Linked DNA regions of Arabidopsis thaliana. The protein of the gene in region 1 interacts with the protein of each later gene in a pairwise test. Each region holds a gene or a part of one and is shown on either strand. Other genes may lie near its edges.

What was found.
Region 2: the proteins of HS1 (region 1) and AT2G21237 interact in a protein complementation assay, tested with the Arabidopsis thaliana proteins (one large-scale study listed by BioGRID).
Region 3: the proteins of HS1 (region 1) and AT1G16560 interact in a protein complementation assay, tested with the Arabidopsis thaliana proteins (one large-scale study listed by BioGRID).
Region 4: the proteins of HS1 (region 1) and SAG18 interact in a protein complementation assay, tested with the Arabidopsis thaliana proteins (one large-scale study listed by BioGRID).

Annotation. Positions count from the first base shown.
Region 1 is NC_003074.8:5,879,422-5,883,921, forward strand, and holds HS1 (heat stable protein 1), read left to right. Parts: upstream 1-2,497; 5' UTR 2,498-2,544; intron 2,545-2,643; exon of another isoform or gene 2,644-2,655; 5' UTR 2,656-2,896; coding exon 2,897-3,036; intron 3,037-3,285; coding exon 3,286-3,475; 3' UTR 3,476-3,779; downstream 3,780-4,500. Other genes in the region: UPL6 (ubiquitin protein ligase 6), read left to right, coding at 1-54, 161-227, 449-619, 709-798, 893-973, 1,082-1,155, 1,262-1,333, 1,426-1,515 and 1 more; PMEI2 (pectin methylesterase inhibitor 2), read right to left, coding at 3,907-4,428.
Region 2 is NC_003071.7:9,099,712-9,103,525, forward strand, and holds AT2G21237 (uncharacterized protein), read right to left. Parts: upstream 1,505-3,814; 5' UTR 1,474-1,504; coding exon 973-1,473; 3' UTR 825-972; downstream 1-824. Other genes in the region: BPC4 (basic pentacysteine 4), read right to left, coding at 1,804-2,625, 2,710-2,778; AT2G21250 (NAD(P)-linked oxidoreductase superfamily protein), read right to left, coding at 3,697-3,814.
Region 3 is NC_003070.9:5,666,147-5,671,446, reverse strand, and holds AT1G16560 (Per1-like family protein), read right to left. Parts: upstream 3,064-5,300; 5' UTR 2,983-3,063; exon of another isoform or gene 2,529-2,982; 5' UTR 2,503-2,528; coding exon 2,408-2,502; intron 2,288-2,407; coding exon 2,038-2,287; coding exon of another isoform or gene 2,034-2,037; intron 1,955-2,033; coding exon 1,758-1,954; intron 1,669-1,757; coding exon 1,481-1,668; intron 1,403-1,480; coding exon 1,104-1,402; 3' UTR 739-1,103; downstream 1-738. Other genes in the region: AT1G16570 (UDP-Glycosyltransferase superfamily protein), read left to right, coding at 1-26, 145-197, 270-567, 658-684.
Region 4 is NC_003070.9:26,832,202-26,836,932, reverse strand, and holds SAG18 (senescence associated gene 18), read left to right. Parts: upstream 1-1,872; 5' UTR 1,873-1,950; coding exon 1,951-2,077; intron 2,078-2,173; coding exon 2,174-2,276; intron 2,277-2,348; coding exon 2,349-2,469; intron 2,470-2,559; coding exon 2,560-2,681; intron 2,682-2,766; coding exon 2,767-2,888; intron 2,889-2,993; coding exon 2,994-3,153; intron 3,154-3,223; exon of another isoform or gene 3,224-3,245; coding exon 3,246-3,336; 3' UTR 3,337-3,527; downstream 3,528-4,731. Other genes in the region: AT1G71200 (basic helix-loop-helix (bHLH) DNA-binding superfamily protein), read left to right, coding at 1-320, 868-960; AT1G71180 (6-phosphogluconate dehydrogenase family protein), read right to left, coding at 3,642-4,598.

The DNA.
Region 1 (4,500 bases):
GATTCTTGTTGATATACCATTTGCAACGTTTTTCCTCAGCAAACTGAAACAAAAGTATGTAAATTTAATTTCTACCTCAATTTCCTGTCACTTCATTCGTTTTTTAAGCCCGCATAGACTTTTTGAACATGTTGTGAAACTTCTATTGTTCTTTGGCTAGGTACAACTATTTGAACGATTTGCCTTCTCTGGATCCTGAGTTGTATAGGCACCTTATATTTCTGAAGGTGAGTTTTGCTGAACATTCTATTTAATTGTTGCTTTGTAGAACGGGGAGATAGTTGCTAGCATAGATGTGCGAGAATGCTGAAATCTGTTTGTTTGTTTTTGTTTCGAAACTGAAATTTGTTTGTTTACCTACCTACGATAATTTTGGCTCTTTTTTTTTTTTTTTTTTTTGCTTCTTAGCTTTATACACCTTTTTATGTATTCATTATGATATTTGCAGCGTTATAAGGGTGATATCTCAGACTTGGAGCTTTACTTTGTTATTTTGAATAATGAATATGGAGAGAGGACAGAGGAAGAGCTACTTCCAGGGGGCCAAGACATGCGAGTTACAAATGAGAATGTTATAACTTTCATTCATCTGGTTTCCAATCATCGGTTAAATTTTCAGGTACTGGGGAACCACTTACCTCTCATTTATCTTGGCATACCTGAGGTCACCCTGTAAATCAACAGCTATTGATATCATCTCATTTGCAGATACGCCAGCAGAGTTCTCATTTCTTGAGGGGGTTTCAGCAACTCATTCCGAAAGAATGGATCGACATGTTCAATGAACATGAGCTTCAGGTGCCAATTAAGTGTATAATTATACTTGCTTTGTTAGTTGTTCCCTCGAGGAGCATGAAGAGAGAAATTTTACCTTTGTGGGCTTTGGTTGCAGGTTCTCATATCTGGTTCAGTTGATAGTTTGGATATAGACGACTTGCGAAACAACACTAATTATGCTGGAGGCTACCACGCGGTGAGTGGTTCTTCACTGTTAGCCGAAATGCCATTGTGAATTAGTGTAGGGACACTTTTGGAGTATTGTTATATATGATTATATCGCTATGTTGTTGACACTTGACAGGGACATTATGTGATCGATATGTTCTGGGAAGTTATGAAAAGCTTCTCAACTGAAAACCAGAAGAAGTTCTTAAAGTAAGCAAACTTTGCAGTTACTACTACAGTCTGTGTACGCAATGATTTACCGGAGTCTATGAATTTTCTAAGGGAACTAAGAGGTACCTCTATTTTTCAATTTCAGGTTTGTGACAGGCTGCTCACGAGGACCACTGCTGGGTTTCAAATACTTGGAACCTGCATTCTGCATACAGAGGTAATATACACAGACTCACAATCGTTTTGACTTTTGATGGGCCCTGGACAATAGAATCATAAAATATCCATCCTCGATGGAATGTGTATCAGGGCTGCCGGTAGTGCGAGTAATGAATCAGTTGATAGACTACCGACATCAGCCACTTGTATGAATCTTCTTAAGCTTCCGCCCTATCAAAGGTTTGTCCTCTCATAACACAAACTCTTTGGTTTTGCTTAGCTAAGAGACTTGTTTTGTTGCCAAATAGCTTCTCTTGGTGTTGTAATTGGAAAAAGCAAATAAAGCATGTCTTGTTGTTAATGATGCAGCAAAGAGCTACTTGAGACCAAATTGATGTACGCCATAAGCGCAGAAGCGGGTTTTGATCTGAGCTGATGGAATAGCTTCCTGCCTTAAACACAGACTTCAATGGCCCCAAATTGACACCCTTTTTTCTAGCATTCCTCGTTATGGTATAAACCGGGTAACCTGTAGACTGAGGCAGGCTTGTTGGCTCTAAGCATCTAAGAGACGGATCTAGAAGGAGAACATGTAGTAGAGATTACTTGACTAATGGGTTTCATTTGCAGCTCTCGGGTATTCGCTTTCAAAAAGTGTGACAAAAAAAAAAAAGTGATTACAGGGAAGTCTTTATTTGGAAGCTCCTGAGAGTTAGTCTTGGGTTAAAAATTCAATAAAAGAAATGGTAAATAAGACTGGTCTCAAGAGGAACTTAAATGCTGTAAATTATTTTGCTTAATTAATGCATGTTACACAGAACATAGATGATTATTTTGATACTTATTTGCATCATACCATATATCTTCTATAAAAAGATGCATTTTAGTGACTTAGTGGTAAGAATATCCTTTTTTTTTTTTTTTTGTCATATGATAATTATTAAAACAGAAACAAAATGACAGAAAAATAACGAGAAATACAAAATGAAATTTAAACTTTACTTTCCTTAGACACTTGATTGTGAAGTCATGAAGGCTCTCCAAGTGCTAAGTAAAACTTAGACTGAAACCTTCTGTCTTGAATCACACTCCCAAGAAATGGAACGCGCGATCAGATTTGCGTTTGTGGCAATATGACGGAATGTACAAGATTCAAATGCACTAACAATCTCATGGATTTGTGTTAACCAATTTCTATAGAAAGGCTATTTGGACGGCTGCAAAACGGCGTTAAGTGCGGCTGGACAGTCCAACTCTATTATCACCGTGGTAAGAATATCTCTATATACATTTTTTGTCGCACTTATCATGATTAATCAAGTAAACATAATTGTTACAAACACTTTATAAATTAAAAAAGCTTCAATTCAATTTGCACAGAAAAGAAAAAAAAAAGAAGAAGATTCAATACAGAGTATACCAGGAGCATCTGGTAATGTTTATATCTGAGGACGTTTTATTTAATTTTTTGGAACGAAAACAATAATCCGACGATCGTATTTGCACGTCGCAAATCCGCTCTTTTAATCAAAGATCTCGACCGTCCATTTTTAGTTAAGACTTTAGAGAGCTGATAAGTGGAATAGTGGAGATTTGCATTCGCAGGGGATAAGGATCAAAAATGGAGGAAGCAAAGGGACCTGTGAAGCACGTATTGCTTGCTAGTTTCAAAGATGGGGTTAGTCCTGAGAAAATCGAAGAGCTCATCAAAGGTTACGCCAATCTCGTCAATCTCATCGAACCTATGAAAGCTTTCCACTGGTTAGTAAATTTGGATTCTGAATTGCTTCCTAGTGTTAGACATATGCTCGAGATCCGAAAAACACTTCCATCAACTCAATATGATTATGTAAAACTAAGCAATTTGGGGAAATTCATGACCTTCCTAGTGTTGATCTAATTTCCCTCAGAGAGAATCCATCTCCATTGATGATCTTTTGAAAAGTTAAATCAACTAAATCGACGAATCTGCTCTTGTCTTATTGAATTATTGGATCTGTATAATTTTAGGGGAAAAGATGTGAGCATTGAGAATCTGCATCAAGGTTACACACACATCTTTGAATCCACATTTGAGAGTAAAGAAGCTGTTGCAGAGTACATTGCTCATCCTGCTCACGTTGAATTCGCCACCATCTTCCTTGGCAGCTTGGATAAAGTTTTGGTTATTGACTACAAGCCTACCTCTGTCTCTCTCTAATTATCTTGTAGCAGCATTTTCATCATTGATCTTTTTCTCGGGTATGCATCTTGTATGTTGAATAAAGTATATTCCTTTTGAGTTTTCCTGCATTGTTCTCATGTTTCTCTGTGAATTTCTCTCTTTTTTGTTTGTTTGTTTGTTTCCTTCTGTTGTATTATACTTGATCTGTAAAAAGATCATGAGTTTATTAAGAGTGTTTGATTTCAGACTCCTCTTTGTTATAAGTCTATTACTAGTTGTTGTCTCTTAGTTTCTTTTATCAATAGAGTTGAGTTATATGGAATAACAAGTTGAAAAGAAACCAGGTTCTTGTTGATGTGTGGGTTGGAGAAAAAAAGTTCTTTGATTATATATGTAACATTTATGCATTACTGTTTAATGTAATCGTCTAATGAGTATGATGAAGGGAGATTGAATCAATCCCACTCTCACATCATGTTTGAGATGACAAGTACAATGCCACAAATATTCTGAAAATCACCACTGTTCTTCACAGCTGAAGGATCAACTTTGAAATCCGCCATGTCTTGTTCACATGTTGAAGGTCCTTCCATAGCTGCTGAAACCTTAATGTTCAACCCTTTGCCATCGCCTGACGCCAGGCTCTGCTTAGCATCATTGAGACTGCTTATTGCACTCTTATAATGTTGTACACATGAGGTGTATGCTTTCTTCATAGTGGGGTTGGTTGCTGTCTTGACTAGAGATTGAATTTTCCTGAAACCTTCTGATGCACTTGTTTGTGCAGAACCAAATGTGATATTTGCAAGCGTTTGAAGATCAGCACCTGAGGTCTTTGGGTTGGATTTCATGTAGCTCGTACAGAAGGATTGGTTTTTCGCTTTTCCACATATCGCTTTTATGTCTGCCACTTGTGCGTTCAAAGAACCAGTCATTACAAAAAACATCAGAGAAGACATTAAAACTCTGTTCGTCAGGTATGCTGCCATCTTTGCTTCTTTCTTTCTTATGTTCGTTGGTAGATGATGGTTAAGTTATTCCCTTACTATGCCTGACTATTC
Region 2 (3,814 bases), on another chromosome or scaffold:
TTTTTATTTTTGTTTATTAATTTATTGATTTTAGCAATCACTTAATTAGTAAATCTTTTCTATGCACTACATGGACCCACATTAAATTACATTACTTAATTGTAGATATTTCAGTGAATCTAAATTAAATTTTGTAAAAAAAAATGTATTTTTATTTGGAAAAAATAATTGTTGTTAGCAATAAATTAATAGATACTATAAATGATTGTAAGTTTGTTTAGAAATTAAATTTACCACATTTGGCTAAAAATTGGGTAAATCACCATAACAGTATTCTATATAAGTAATTTATCTTAGACCAATTATGTAGCGACAAATGTACATTAGTAGATTTACTTCCTTGTTTTTTTGGGGCCACCTTTCGGCCACTTGATAAGTAAAATTTCTTTCTATTTGGGCCAAAGTAACTTCTTATTGTAGAACCGGTAACGAAATTGACTCAAACAACCCATGAGACTCACACATATTATTCCTCGCTGAACTGACACGTGGCATTATTTCAAAGAAGTAGAGATTTTTACCTTGAATGTAAAGATTTTTTATTTTAGTTTTTCCAAAACTCTACTTTATAGCAATTCAAAATTTTGCAAAAAATACTTTCCCTAAAAAACAGAGGATCTAGTATTTTACTTGGGTTGTTACAAAATTTCAAAGAAAAACCAAAACCCATTGTAAGACTTTTTCATCTTTTGCTTTTAACTAACAATATATAGTACATCAATATATATATATATATATATATATATATATATATATATATATATATATATTGAACTCAGCTCATAAGAGGGGAAAAAAGAAAGAAAGATGTAATTCGAATTTTTGAAGATCATTGGTCGTTGGATTATTGGAAAAGATAAAATGCTGAATAACAAACATATCACAAAAGAGATTATTAGATTCTTGAATCGATCTGATAGCTAACCACATCAAAGTTATTTTTTTGAATGAACCACACTAAGTTTTAATTTGCTAACGAGTTCGACATGATCTTACTTCGCCGTGAGACGGGAATGACACTGCGCGTTTTATCCTCGGCATCTTCTTGTCATCCGGAGCAACCACAACGGCTAAACTTTGGCAGCTGTTTTTCACCGTTTCTTCAGTTCGTTTAGTCGTCTCGGTACTCTGATTCTGCACCACACACGGTTCTTTGCTTGGAGTTGAATCCACAATCTGATCTGAGCCGCGCCTGACGAGAATATGAAGACCGATCAAGATGACAAGAGGAAGACACATCAAGAACAATGCATAGTAGATGATCCACCCGAATCCCGTGTGACTCTTTCCGTGACAGATCCACTCAATGACTAAAGCCATTCCTGAGGTGAATGTAGTCAAGCTGCTTAGGACAAAAACTTTGACAATCCCCGGATTCGGAATTTGCAAGAAGGCTCTTGCGGCGCCAAGAAACCATATCTCTTGTGACCGTTGATGCGTCTCCACATGCGCCACTGTGGCTTTCTCCATCATTTTGTTGTTGTTTATGCTTACTTTGTGTTTTATTTTTTGTTCTCTCCTCTCGGTATAAAAAGAAACTAACAAGTGAAAGAAAAAAGGGGTAACAGATTTTGCTATCAAAGGGGTAACAGATTTTGATTTTTAACTGTTACGATTTTATTTTATTTTTTGAGGTCAAAACACAGATTTTTTATGCAAACCATTTTTGCCCATCCAAAAGATACACATAACAATGGTTTTACCATACACAACAAAGAACAAACTATGGACAATAAAGACAAAGACAACACCTAATCTTAAGAAGACGAGAGAAACATACTTGGACTGTGTAAACAACAGAGGCTACTTGATAGTGATGTAGCGGTTTGTCCCGTGCCTAGCCCAATAGTCTTTAAGATCAACAGGACACGAGAGATCATATCCTTCTGCTGATAAACGGCTGAGTAATCTCGAGAAAACGTTTCCGCTCATTTTCCTACCGCCCATCCGAGAATGCCTCTTGTTTGGCATCTGCGGTAATGGATACTGGGATAAGGTGGTTGTGCAGCAAGACGATTGCCAGCCGCCATTTCCCCATTTGTAACACTGACGCGTAGAGCCTGTGCACGAACACATGGGTACAGGCATTGTCGTCTCATCGAAGGTGACTAAGTTCAAACCGACATCTTGACTGTCCCAATCTGTTCTAGATTTCTTTCCAGGAGCAGGAACTCGACGGTTCAGATCTTCACCCACTTTTTTCACCTTTGATAGTCCCTGCTTGTTCTCTTTCTTCCTTTTGTTCACCACCTTCGTGTTTGTAACCTCAGGCGGAATAGTTGACAAAGGGAAGACTTCAAGTTTGTGGGGTTCCCCAATACCAAAACAATCATCTCCATCAACACACTTCCCACCAGACAAAGCAAAGTTGAGACTATTTTCATGGTGTTGAAGAGCAGCATAAGCATTATCTCTCTCTATCAAAGCTTTATCTCTCTCAGAAAGAGCTTTGTCACGTTGCTGAAGCGCTTCGTCCCGAGCAGCGACAGCTTCCTTTTTAGCAGAGACAGCTTGATTTCTTTCATGTACAGCAGCGTCTCTCTCAGCAAGGATGGACATGATCTTCTTATTCATCACCAACGCATTATGTTGTTCCTTAATCTGATGCTGGGGAATCATATTCCACTGTAACAAACATTCTTTGCTTATATAACTTCAATCACACTAACAAAAACATATCTTTAGGAAACCAAAAATCTTAAGTCTTACCATAGATTGTGCACCTTTGAAGTAATCGGGCTTGAACCGCGCATTATCATACTGACCACCATTCTCCATAACTCTTATAATCTTCAAACAGTGAAACACCGAACCAATCAAGCTTCTCCTCCAAACACACTCAGCAACAGTGAAACCAAATTTCAAACATTGTGATTCGATCTATGAAAACAATTGAAGAGTAAGAATTACAAGCAGATATTAGCACACTGAACTCGCAATTCACTATCTTCAAACAAAATCAAAACTTCTCGAATTGATCTGCCAGTTAGGGTTCCGCAATTGATTCAGATACCAAAATCAATCTGAGCTAGTCAGAGAAACAGGTCTTAAGGAACAATTTTACGAAAATTGGAATAAATTAGGTCAAGATCAAAAAGGTCGAATCAATCTAAACCTTCCATGACAAGAGATTATTCCGCGAAACAATAGAAAACAAGGGTGAAACTGAAATTATAAACCCTAGAGATACAACACATTCAAAATTGATTAACAAATAAATTAAAGAGAGGAAAAGGCGCGAAAGCTTACGAATTCGATGAGCTTCTGGAAAAAATCTGGGCAAAATGGATAATTGATCGAGAAGAAAGATCCAAAGGGTAGAGAGAGAGAGAGATAGTGTCTCTGTCCGCGAAGAAGCTCAATGTACTTACTTCGTCATTTACCAAATTACCCTCTTCTCTACTACTAAACAAGAGAAATCAAGGGTATACTCGTCTTTTTAAATATCCTCTTTCAGTTACAATAATGATTCATTGTGGATTTAAGCATATAAATAGAGAAGAGAGAAATCTATATCACTTTCCATCAATGTGTGATATTGTAGTACTTAAGAAATCATAATCTGTTTAACAACATGAGTTTATGTATGAAAGATAGGCTCACAAACATTTGAGAATGTTTCAGGTAAAGCTATGGCTTCTTCTCGTTGTTTATCTTCTTAAGCTTCATTTATTCATGTAGATAGAGAGAGTGTGATCAAGCGTAGAGATCAATGTTCCAAAACTTGGCTGGTTGGTTCGTGCGGTATTTCCTCTCCATGCTTTTGATCACTTCCATGTCCTCTTTCGATAGTTCGAAGTCGAAAACCTGAAAG
Region 3 (5,300 bases), on another chromosome or scaffold:
CGTCGGGTTTAGACCTTCCCATGAAGGTAAGCACATTGTTTTTATAGCTCATATGTTAAGAAGCACATTGTTTTTAATAAGGTTAAGAAGATTTAAGACTTGATTTCCATTGTGTCAACTTGCTACCGATGTTTGGCGTTTTAGGTTGTTGATATGTTTGGATGTGGCCTCCCAGTTTGCTCGGTTTCCTACTCATGGTAAATAATCAATCACTTACATTACTTTCACGAACAAATACTATAACTTTAAAACCTTCAACTTTCGTGAAGCATTCAAGAACTCGTTAAAGATGGGAAGAACGGACTTTTGTTTTCATCTTCATCAGAATTAGCAGATCAATTATTGGTAAGTAACTCGTCTTTCTTTTTAAAAGACTATTTCACCAAGTCTACAGCAGAAGACAGCAGTAATGTTCTTGTGTTTTGTCTTTGTGAACAGATTCTCTTCAAGGGTTTTCCAGGGAACTGTGATGCACTAATGTCGCTTAAAGCGGGTGCAATGGAGACTGGTTCTTCGGGTCGATGGGCTACAGAGTGGGAAGATTGTGCAAAACCTTTAATCACTCAGGCAAAATCCGTCGGCCCTCTCTGTATCCCGCACACATACTTTTTTATTGGGCTATTTCTCATAAGATGTCTTTATGTCTGGTCTATGCAGGTCGTGTCTCAAATTGCAGATTCATGAAAGAGAAGACTCAAAATCGATGGGCTTGAGAGTTTCTCACACAACTGCTTTTGTAGATCCAAATTTTTATACAAAATCCTATAGATTACAAGATTGTCTCGAAAATATTGACAGAATCTGAATTCAAAATGGTTTCGCATGAGTCTGTGTATGAATGAGTAAATGATATCAAAATCTTTCTTAACCAAAAGTAAGGCCAAAGAAAAACACTGAAAGGCTCAAAGCAAATTCAACAGTTAATGTAACAATATAAAATAAAAAAAACTGAAGAAACCTGTGAATCCATAAACCAGCTAGCTTTAAACAAAAGACTCTGCCTTCTTCGTGATGTTTAAATCCATTTCCATCTTTTGTTTTTCCCTCGTGTCTGCATACTCGTATGGTCGGATAAAAATCCTTGTAAAACTTAGCAAAGAGACTCACTTTGCCTTCGTCTTAGTTTTCTTGAGGAGGCTGGAAGTTCTGAACTCAGCATCGTCTCTAATGAAGCTCCACCAGAGAATGGTTAAGGGAATTGTGGCAGCGTGCCAGATCGAGTGAGCATCGAAGTAGCCTTCATATGGAGGAAAATCATATATCTCTAGAAGCATGGCTAATCCTCCAGCTATCACAACCACCCAAAGTTTCCAATTAGAAGGGTGGCTTGAGACAGCGGCCCATCTTGCCCATAGGAAAAGCTGTGAGACTCCCATTGCCACACACACAATCATGTTCCAGCCTGTAAACGACATTCAACTGATGAATTCACCAAAAATATTGACTCGATTTTTAGACAACGGAAAGTTATTGAGGGTACCATAGTCGAGTTTGTAGAAGTTTATGTAGAGTATGTGGGTGGTTACAAAAGCTAGTATTGGAGCGGATACCATGACCCTTGCAGCCTCAACCCGAATATCAAATGTTCGTAAAATGGCTAAGATGAGTGAGAATCCGAGAATCGCTACTGCGGATGAGTAGTCCAACCTCTCTGTAAGGTCAACATCCCTGAGAACCACAGAGACGGATTACCAGAAAATCACATATGAATATATGATGCAGATTGTGGATAATAGAGTAATGTGTAGATGATTTACCGGCTGTGGAAAACAGCACTCCAGAACCAAGAGTTCATGGACAGGAGACCGTAGATATGCCACAAACCAACGTATTCATAGTACGCTGTCCTATCTTGTTTCAGAGGCAACTTATAGTAGATCATGATGAAAAAGGAAAGCCAACCATGGAAATGCATTGCTAGGTTGAGTACAGAGAAAGCAACAGAAGCAGGCTCCTGGCAAAGAACAAGGTAAGTCAAAACTCATATTATATGGAAACAACCAGAATAAAAAAAAGCGATTGAAGAAAAAAACTAACCTGAATCCCAAGTACACGCTTGAAGGGCCATTTACCATGGTACTTGACTGGGGCTTGACCGAGAGTTTCCCGTTCAGTCTCTCTATTAACCATACATTGATAACGGCAATCACCTTGACAACCCCATTTTTTCCATTGTAAATACAAAGGTTCTTGGATGTACCATGGACCACCATCGGATGAAGAATTGCACTGAGGAAAGCAAAGTTGTCCAACACAACCGCTTATCTCACATTCTGAAACACATGTCCTGACACAAAATTGCCAGACATTCATAATCTCCACGAATCAAAAATGTTGCTTACATATAAGCTACAACAAAACCAAGTTCACGATAGATACTCAAAGATTACCGAAATTCTAAGATTACCTGTAATCTGGATCAGCATCGCCAGCACTAGCATTTGAAATACAGAAAAGGCATGGCAACAATAGAAACAGGGCTGTCCAGTAGTGGACTGCCATCTGAGCAGAAAGTTGAAGTGAAATCACTGCGTGATAATAACAATGCAAGCCTCAAAAAACAAAGAAAGAAATCGCTTAAAGGAGCTGCAAATGGAAACTATGAATCAGAGACTATAAAAAAAAACTACAAATGTGAAGATCTTCATATGATGCTTCCGTTAAGAATCCTAAAGCAAGTGTTTATTCCAGTGAAAGAAATTCTCACATATCAATAAAAATCCTTCTATAATTCGACCTTGAAAGACTACAGAATCTCTTGGTTAAGGATCGAACTTGATTTCTGTAGAATCTAATACTATGATTTCCAGATTCGATCAGATTATCGAAAACTCAGAACTTAAATCAAATGCAGAGCTTAAACCCCCTCGAGATCTACCAATCAAGCAGGGACAACAACAACAAGATGAGAAATCGATCAGCTATAATGTAGAGAGCAAGAAAATAGAGAAAAAATCGAGCAGATCAGATAGAATCCAATACCTCCCGAGTCTGAGTCTGAGAGTCTGGTCTTCGCAACAATGTTAAAGCTTCAAAGAATATTATCGCACTCCTGTAAATAATGGAGACGACGAAAGAGAAGACCACGTGTCTTATAATTTAAACTAAACGACGTAGTTTTTGCATTATTCTTTTTCTTTCTAGTTTCTACCATTATCTGCTTTACAAAATGTCCCCCAAAAAAGAGTAACAAAACCTTCTTTCGTATTTATCTTATCTCAATAATATAATTGTTACAAGTACTCAGAAGAATGGGAATTTGCAGACATAATATAAGTAAGAGAGGTTTTAGTGCAAGGCAAAAAGAATGACCCTATGGTTTCCTTCCAATGCTTTCTTGGAGCTTTTTTGATAGTTCCTCATAGTGTCTTCTTTGCTGTTTGTTCACAGAAGGTGAGACTAAGGACAATGCTTGCTCGAAATGAGTCATCTTAATCGTACACTGACTTGTATCTGTAATATCGTCATCATCTTCACATGAAATTGTGGTGATCTCCTCCACTGCCTGGAATGTAGCTTTTTGCACCAAGTGAGCGAGATCAGCTCCGCTGAAACCTTCACAATTCATCTTTGCAATGCTATCAAGATCAACACTAGGATCTATGGGCTTCTTCCTTGCAATAGCTTTTAGAATTGAAGCACGTTCATCGGCGTTAGGGAGGGGTACATATAGAAGATTCCCAAACCTACCAGGTCTCAAGAACGCAGGATCAATTACATCTGGCCTGTTTGTAGCTCCAATTACGTATACATTACGCCTCTCTCCACCGTCTAGCTCAACAAGGAACTGGTTTAAAAGCCGTTCAACAACCCAGGCACCTTCTTTGCCACGGCTTGTTGTCAAAGCATCCACCTCATCAAAGAAGATCACACATGGCGAACATGTCCGGGCACGCTGAAACAATGTCCGAATAGCAAGCTCGCTCTCTCCAACGTACTTGTTTAGAAGCTCTGCACCCTTGATGTGCATGAAATTAGCTCCTGCCTCGTTAGCAACTGCCTTTGCAATCAATGTCTTGCCACAACCCGGTGGTCCATAGAGTAAAAATCCAACCTCTAAGTCTACCCCAAAAGCCTAAAAAGAACCAAAGTGGCACATTCAGACCTCGAGAGAAAAAGCAAGTAATCTTGACTATATAACAGTTCTAAGTGACTTATTAGTTACCTTGTAAATATCAGGCTTTTTGATAGGTCTGACTATATAGCGGTTGAATTCAAGTCGTAGATGCTCAAGTCCACCAACATCATCCCACTTGACATCAGGCACGATAGAGAATCCTTCCCTTGTTAAAGATGCCTGAACTAGATTCACTGCTTCCTAGTAGATTACAGAGCAACCAACAGAGTTAGGAACCAAGGATTAAAATCTCGTAGCTATTGAAGTACAGAAAAGTAGACTCATGCCATGCCTACAATTAACATACCTCGAAATCAGACATCTTAACAAAGAGTTTTTCCAACTCTTCTTCTGGCCAGGGATGCCTCAGCCAAGAACTATCATCTTCAGAGTCCCCAGCCAGTTGAGATTTTCTTGAATCCAAGATTCTCTTTGTGGCAATCCTGCCAGCCATGTTAGCAACACCCTCCAAATCTGCTCCAACAAAACCCGGCGTTAAACGAGCTATTCTTTTCTTGTCAAAGGGCCCTTCTAGTCTAAGTTTTTGGGCTACAACAGAAAGTATCTCAGCTCTTGCATCTTCATCTGGAACACCTAGAGCAATCTCACATTCAAATCGTCCACTTCTCCTCAAAGCAGGATCAAGAACATCAGGCCATTTGTAGCTCCAATAACGAGAACAAATCCAACACTAGACTCAGGACCATTGTTACCAGGTCCATCCATACAAGTCAATAATTGCGTTACAATCCGCTTTTCCATCTCCCTTTGCTGATTTTCCCTCTTTGATCCAATCGCATCAATCTCATCGATAAACACAATGGAAGGTGCAGTCCTATACGCTTTAGAGAAAAGCTCTCTAAGATTCTCTTCAGAAGCACCAGAGACACCAGAAACCACATCTGTAGCTGAAATCTTATAAAACGGAACACCAACTTCATTGGCTATAGCATTAGCCAACTTGGTCTTCCCACAGCCAGGTGGTCCATGAAATAGAATCCCACTCGGTGGCTTAACTCCAATCTTCTTAAACGGTTCAGGATTGAGAATCGGGAACAAAACATTCCTCTCCAGTTCATCCAACACTTTCTTAATCCCACCAAAATCTTTAAAAGTAGGTCCTTTATCACCCACTACATCCAAATCACCATTACCAGTAGTTCCACTGATGGAAAGTGAGTCT
Region 4 (4,731 bases), on another chromosome or scaffold:
AATGGTCTGCACCATCTATAATCGATAATGTAATCACTTACATTCCCAAGCTACAGAATGAAGTTGGAGAGCTAACTCTAAGAAAGCAGAAGCTTGTGGAGTTAGAGAGACGAGGTCCTTCTATTCGAGCAATCTCGGTTCTTGAATTGGGGGAATCAGGTTATGAGGCTGTTGTACAGATATGCTTGAAGAAAGAAAACGAAGATGAGTTCTCCAACTTGCTTCATGTAATGGAGGTGCAAGGTTTGAGTGTTTTAAGTGCTTCTACTTCTCAAGTTTGCCGAGAGCAAAGGGTGGTTTGCTACAACTTCCATGTCAAGGTACTGTGTCTCATCTTATCTTCTTCATTTCTCTTTAGTTTATGTTTTGATAGAATGGAGACAATGTGCTAGTCTTCATGGATATGAACAATGATGTAACTTTTCTTCTCCAAACAATACATGTTTAGGGTCCAAGTCATGGGAGGATTGTGTTTTAACTTTAGCTAAGCATTGAGATTATGTTAAGATTATATAACGTTTAGAAAAGATATAGGACTAATGGTTTATCATTAAGTTCATAAACCAATGGTTTTTGTTCTTAAGATATATTGATTCTATTGGTGGGAGAGAGACTGTTTCGACCTCAATGAACCTGGATTTGAGTGTAGCATTATGTATAAAGAGGGATGATTTACATATATTTGCATGTATTATCAATGGCTGATCCTAGATCTATGGACCAAAAACACTAAACTAAATTCAAAATTAGTTTTTAGCAATTCGATAGTATGGCACTAAAAAGTCATTGGATAGTATTTACATATATACATTGGATGTTCTTTTTTGAGAGAACTAACAATTGCAAAATGTATATGGGAAAGTGTAGATGGATGAGAAGCCATGTGAAGGTGATGACTACATCACAGTGTTAAAGAACAACATCATTTCTTCGCTTCGTGACAACACAAAGTGCAAATGATATATAGTGAGGTATAGAATCAACAGAATATCTTTGATGATGCATATCGCAACTTATAATATTCCTCTTCTTGCTTAGATCATGTTTGGTTTCGTGTTGGGAATCTCATAAATCATATATAGATGTAGAAGTTATGTTTATCTCCCTATGGTAAACCTCTTCTTAGTATGCCTCAAGATCACGATTTACATGCTCTAGTACCCGATCCGAGAGGATTATCTACCAAAGGCCCATAACTTGTAATCCAAATAGAAATTTCTTTGCGAAGCTAAAACTCAAGTTTTCCAAAACAAGTTGTTAGAATGCCGACTAAAGTTTCTTTATATAGGTTTAACAAGAAATGTATAACCTAAAGATTTGATCCCATGGCATAAAAAAAATAATAATTAAAAACATGGAAGCAAAATATATACAACAGATAGACTATGATCTTGCAGTCTAAAGGTGAGACCACTCTTTGATGGACCACAACCTCAACTTTCCGAATCAGCCGGCTTTTGTTTCAGGAGCCAAGAGAAAGACACAACAACCAAATCAAAAATGACAACACGGCTCCAAAAGAATATGGAGTTTGGCAAGGCTTACCTTTGCTATAAATAAGTTGAGCATTGGACTTGAAATAACTTTGTCTAATGAATTCTTACTTGTATTTTATAAGACGAAAACGTAAATCTTGCATTAAGAATTCATACAAATTTTCATAATTGATAAAATTCTTACATTATCGTACTAGAAATCGGAAATGCATTCCACCATTATGCGTGTTAGTACTAATCGGAGTTTTAACTTGTACTAAATTTAACAAATATGACGGAGAGAGTTGAAAGCTTATCACAATGGCATTTACCGTTTTGCCCTTGTCGTTGTAATTTCAACATTTCCAATTTCTTAACGCCTTTACTGACATCGACCCCAAAAAGAAAAAAAAAAAAGAAGAAGAGTCAAACCTGAGAATCTCATCTCTCTCTGAAGTAGAAGAAGAAGAAGACGATGAAGAAGCGAACGATGTCCGCGTGGGGATCGGCGATTTTAATCTTCATAATACTTATGATCGTCACTCCCACAATCCCTCAATCTCAGGCTTACCACAATTTCGCCGATCAACGCTCCTTCCTCGGTATAAAATTCACACTCTTCTCTCATCATCATCATTTTCTTCTTAAATACCCTTTTGAATTTTTAGGGTTTTGATCTTACAAATCCATTTTCTCAGGGATTCCAAATTTTTTAAACGTCATCTCCAACTTCCCTTTCCTCATCATCGGCCTTATTGGTCTTATCCTCTGCTTTTACCCAGAAGATTACTTTAGCTTTAGGTGCGTAATTACATACTTCTTCTTTGTGAAATCCAGATTCAAATTAGTTAAAGTCTCTGTGTATTGAAACAGTTTGCGAGGTGAGAAAATAGGATGGACTTGCTTTTACATCGGTGTAGCTGCTGTTGCTTTTGGATCTTCTTACTATCATCTTCACCCAAACGATGCTACTCTCCTCTGGGATCGTCTTCCCGTACGCTCTTATTCTTTCTCTTCTCTTCTCTGAGATTTTGTTTGCTTTGTTTTGTTTTTGATCACTGGTTTCGATTGCTTTTTGGTTTAGATGACTATTGCTTTCACATCAATCATGGCTATATTTGTAATCGAGAGGATTGATGAGCATAAGGGTACTTACTCCATTGCTCCTTTACTTCTTGCTGGTCTTGTTAGCATTTTGTATTGGAGGTTAGTCAAATCCTTAAACTATCTCTAGTGGTTTTAGCGATACAATGTTGAGATAGAGTAAGCTGACATGAGGCTGTGATTGTAGGTTTTTCGATGACCTTAGGCCATATGCTTTGGTTCAGTTTGTTCCTTGCATTGTGATTCCGTTGATGGCTATTTTATTGCCTCCAATGTATACACATTCCACTTATTGGCTATGGGCTGCAGGTTAGTGCTTATTGTTGTGTTGATACATATTTAGTTTGCTTTGCTCTTGAAGCTTTGTTGTTACTTTCTGGCTCTTATTCTAGATTCAATTGTCTGGAATTGCAGGGTTCTATCTCTTAGCCAAGGTGGAAGAAGCTGCGGATAAGCCTATATATAGCTGGACTCATCATATTATTAGTGGGCATTCTCTGAAGCATCTGTGTGCCGCTATGGTCCCTGTCTTCCTTACCCTCATGCTTGCGAAAAGAACCGTTCAAACTGAGAGGTACATTTTCATCCTCATGTATATGAAACGACCCGACGTGGCAGACCCATATTCTTGTTCTCATTGTTTTACATCATTTTGTTAAAACACAGGATTAGCTTGTATAAGACATGGAAGAAAGGATCCGAGGAAGAACGGTTCGAGCATAGCTACTCCAACGTTGCAGTCGAAGAGACTCGGTAGATTATTTTGTTGACTCGTAAAATGTAAGATGATCTTTTTCTTTTGATAGTTTGTGTGTTTACGGTTACTGGCTAATAGAATTAGATATAGAAGGTACAGATTTATGATCCAGTTGGAAACTAATGTTAGCGATCTGTAATCTTATCAAAATGCTGCACTCTACCATTCATAAATGCCCTTTGTTTCTTATTGAGATTGGTGAGACTCGATGTTCTTCTTATTATCAACTTAAACCAAATCGAAGACAAGTTTGCCTAGTTGATCGTGAAATCATTGGAACACTCTGTTTTACAACACAAGTGTTTTCAGGATATGCCGTTAAGTCTTCTAATAACAGAGACGACGCCTTGAATACCTAACTTGCCATCTCCATTAGCCACCATTCCAGTGAACAACTGCTTGCTCAGAGCAGCACCAGGCATCGCCGCCTCTGCAGCCATTCCCAAATCTTTCACCATATACTCCGCAAAGCCAGTCGCCCTATAATCCCTCTTCACAATCATCTCCCCAAACAGCCGCATAACCGCCGATCCAGCTGCACCATCCTTCACCGCCTCGAGCCATTTCACTGTATCTAAACCCGCTTTCTCAGCGAACACTATCCCTTCAGCAAGTCCAACCAGGTTGCTCGCACCAGCAATCTGATTCCCTATCTTGCAGCTTTGCCCACTCCCTGCTTCTCCCATATAAGTAACAGTCCCTATATTCTTCATCACCGGGGACAACCACTCCACAATCTCTGAATCTCCGCCGGCGAAAATCCCTAACGTCCCCTCTCGTGCTCCAGCGTCTCCACCTGATACCGGCGCATCCACCGCCCAACAATTCCTACGCCTCGCTTCTGCGTGTATTTCACGCGCCAATCCTGGTTTGCTACTAGTCATGTCCACTGTTACTCCACCGGGCGTAAGACCAGAGAGTACACCATCGTCACCGAGAAGCAATGATCGGACATCGTTGAAGTTTCCAACAATCGTGAACACAACGTCGCTCATCTCCGCTAACTCTTTGGGGCTATTGGCTATGCGAGCTCCTTTGGTTTGCAGATCTTTTGTTTTCCGGAGGTCGCGAGCGTAAACTGTGACAGAATAGCCTGCGGCGATAATATGAGAAACCATGGCCGATCCCATTATCCCGATGCCAATCCATCCTATTCGAGTCTTTGAAGGATCGATGAGTTTCGGATATGGAGTCTCCATTTCTGTGTTTCCACAGAACGAATGAAGAATTTGCGTGAGAGACGACGACGATTGGTAGAACATAAAAAATAAGTCTTAGCTACTTCACTCAATTTTTATTTATTGAGCTCAAATCTCTTTTTCTTCTGGATTTTAGTTATTTCACATCAGTCATGGCTATACTTTTAATCGAAAGGATTGATGAGTAAGGGTACTT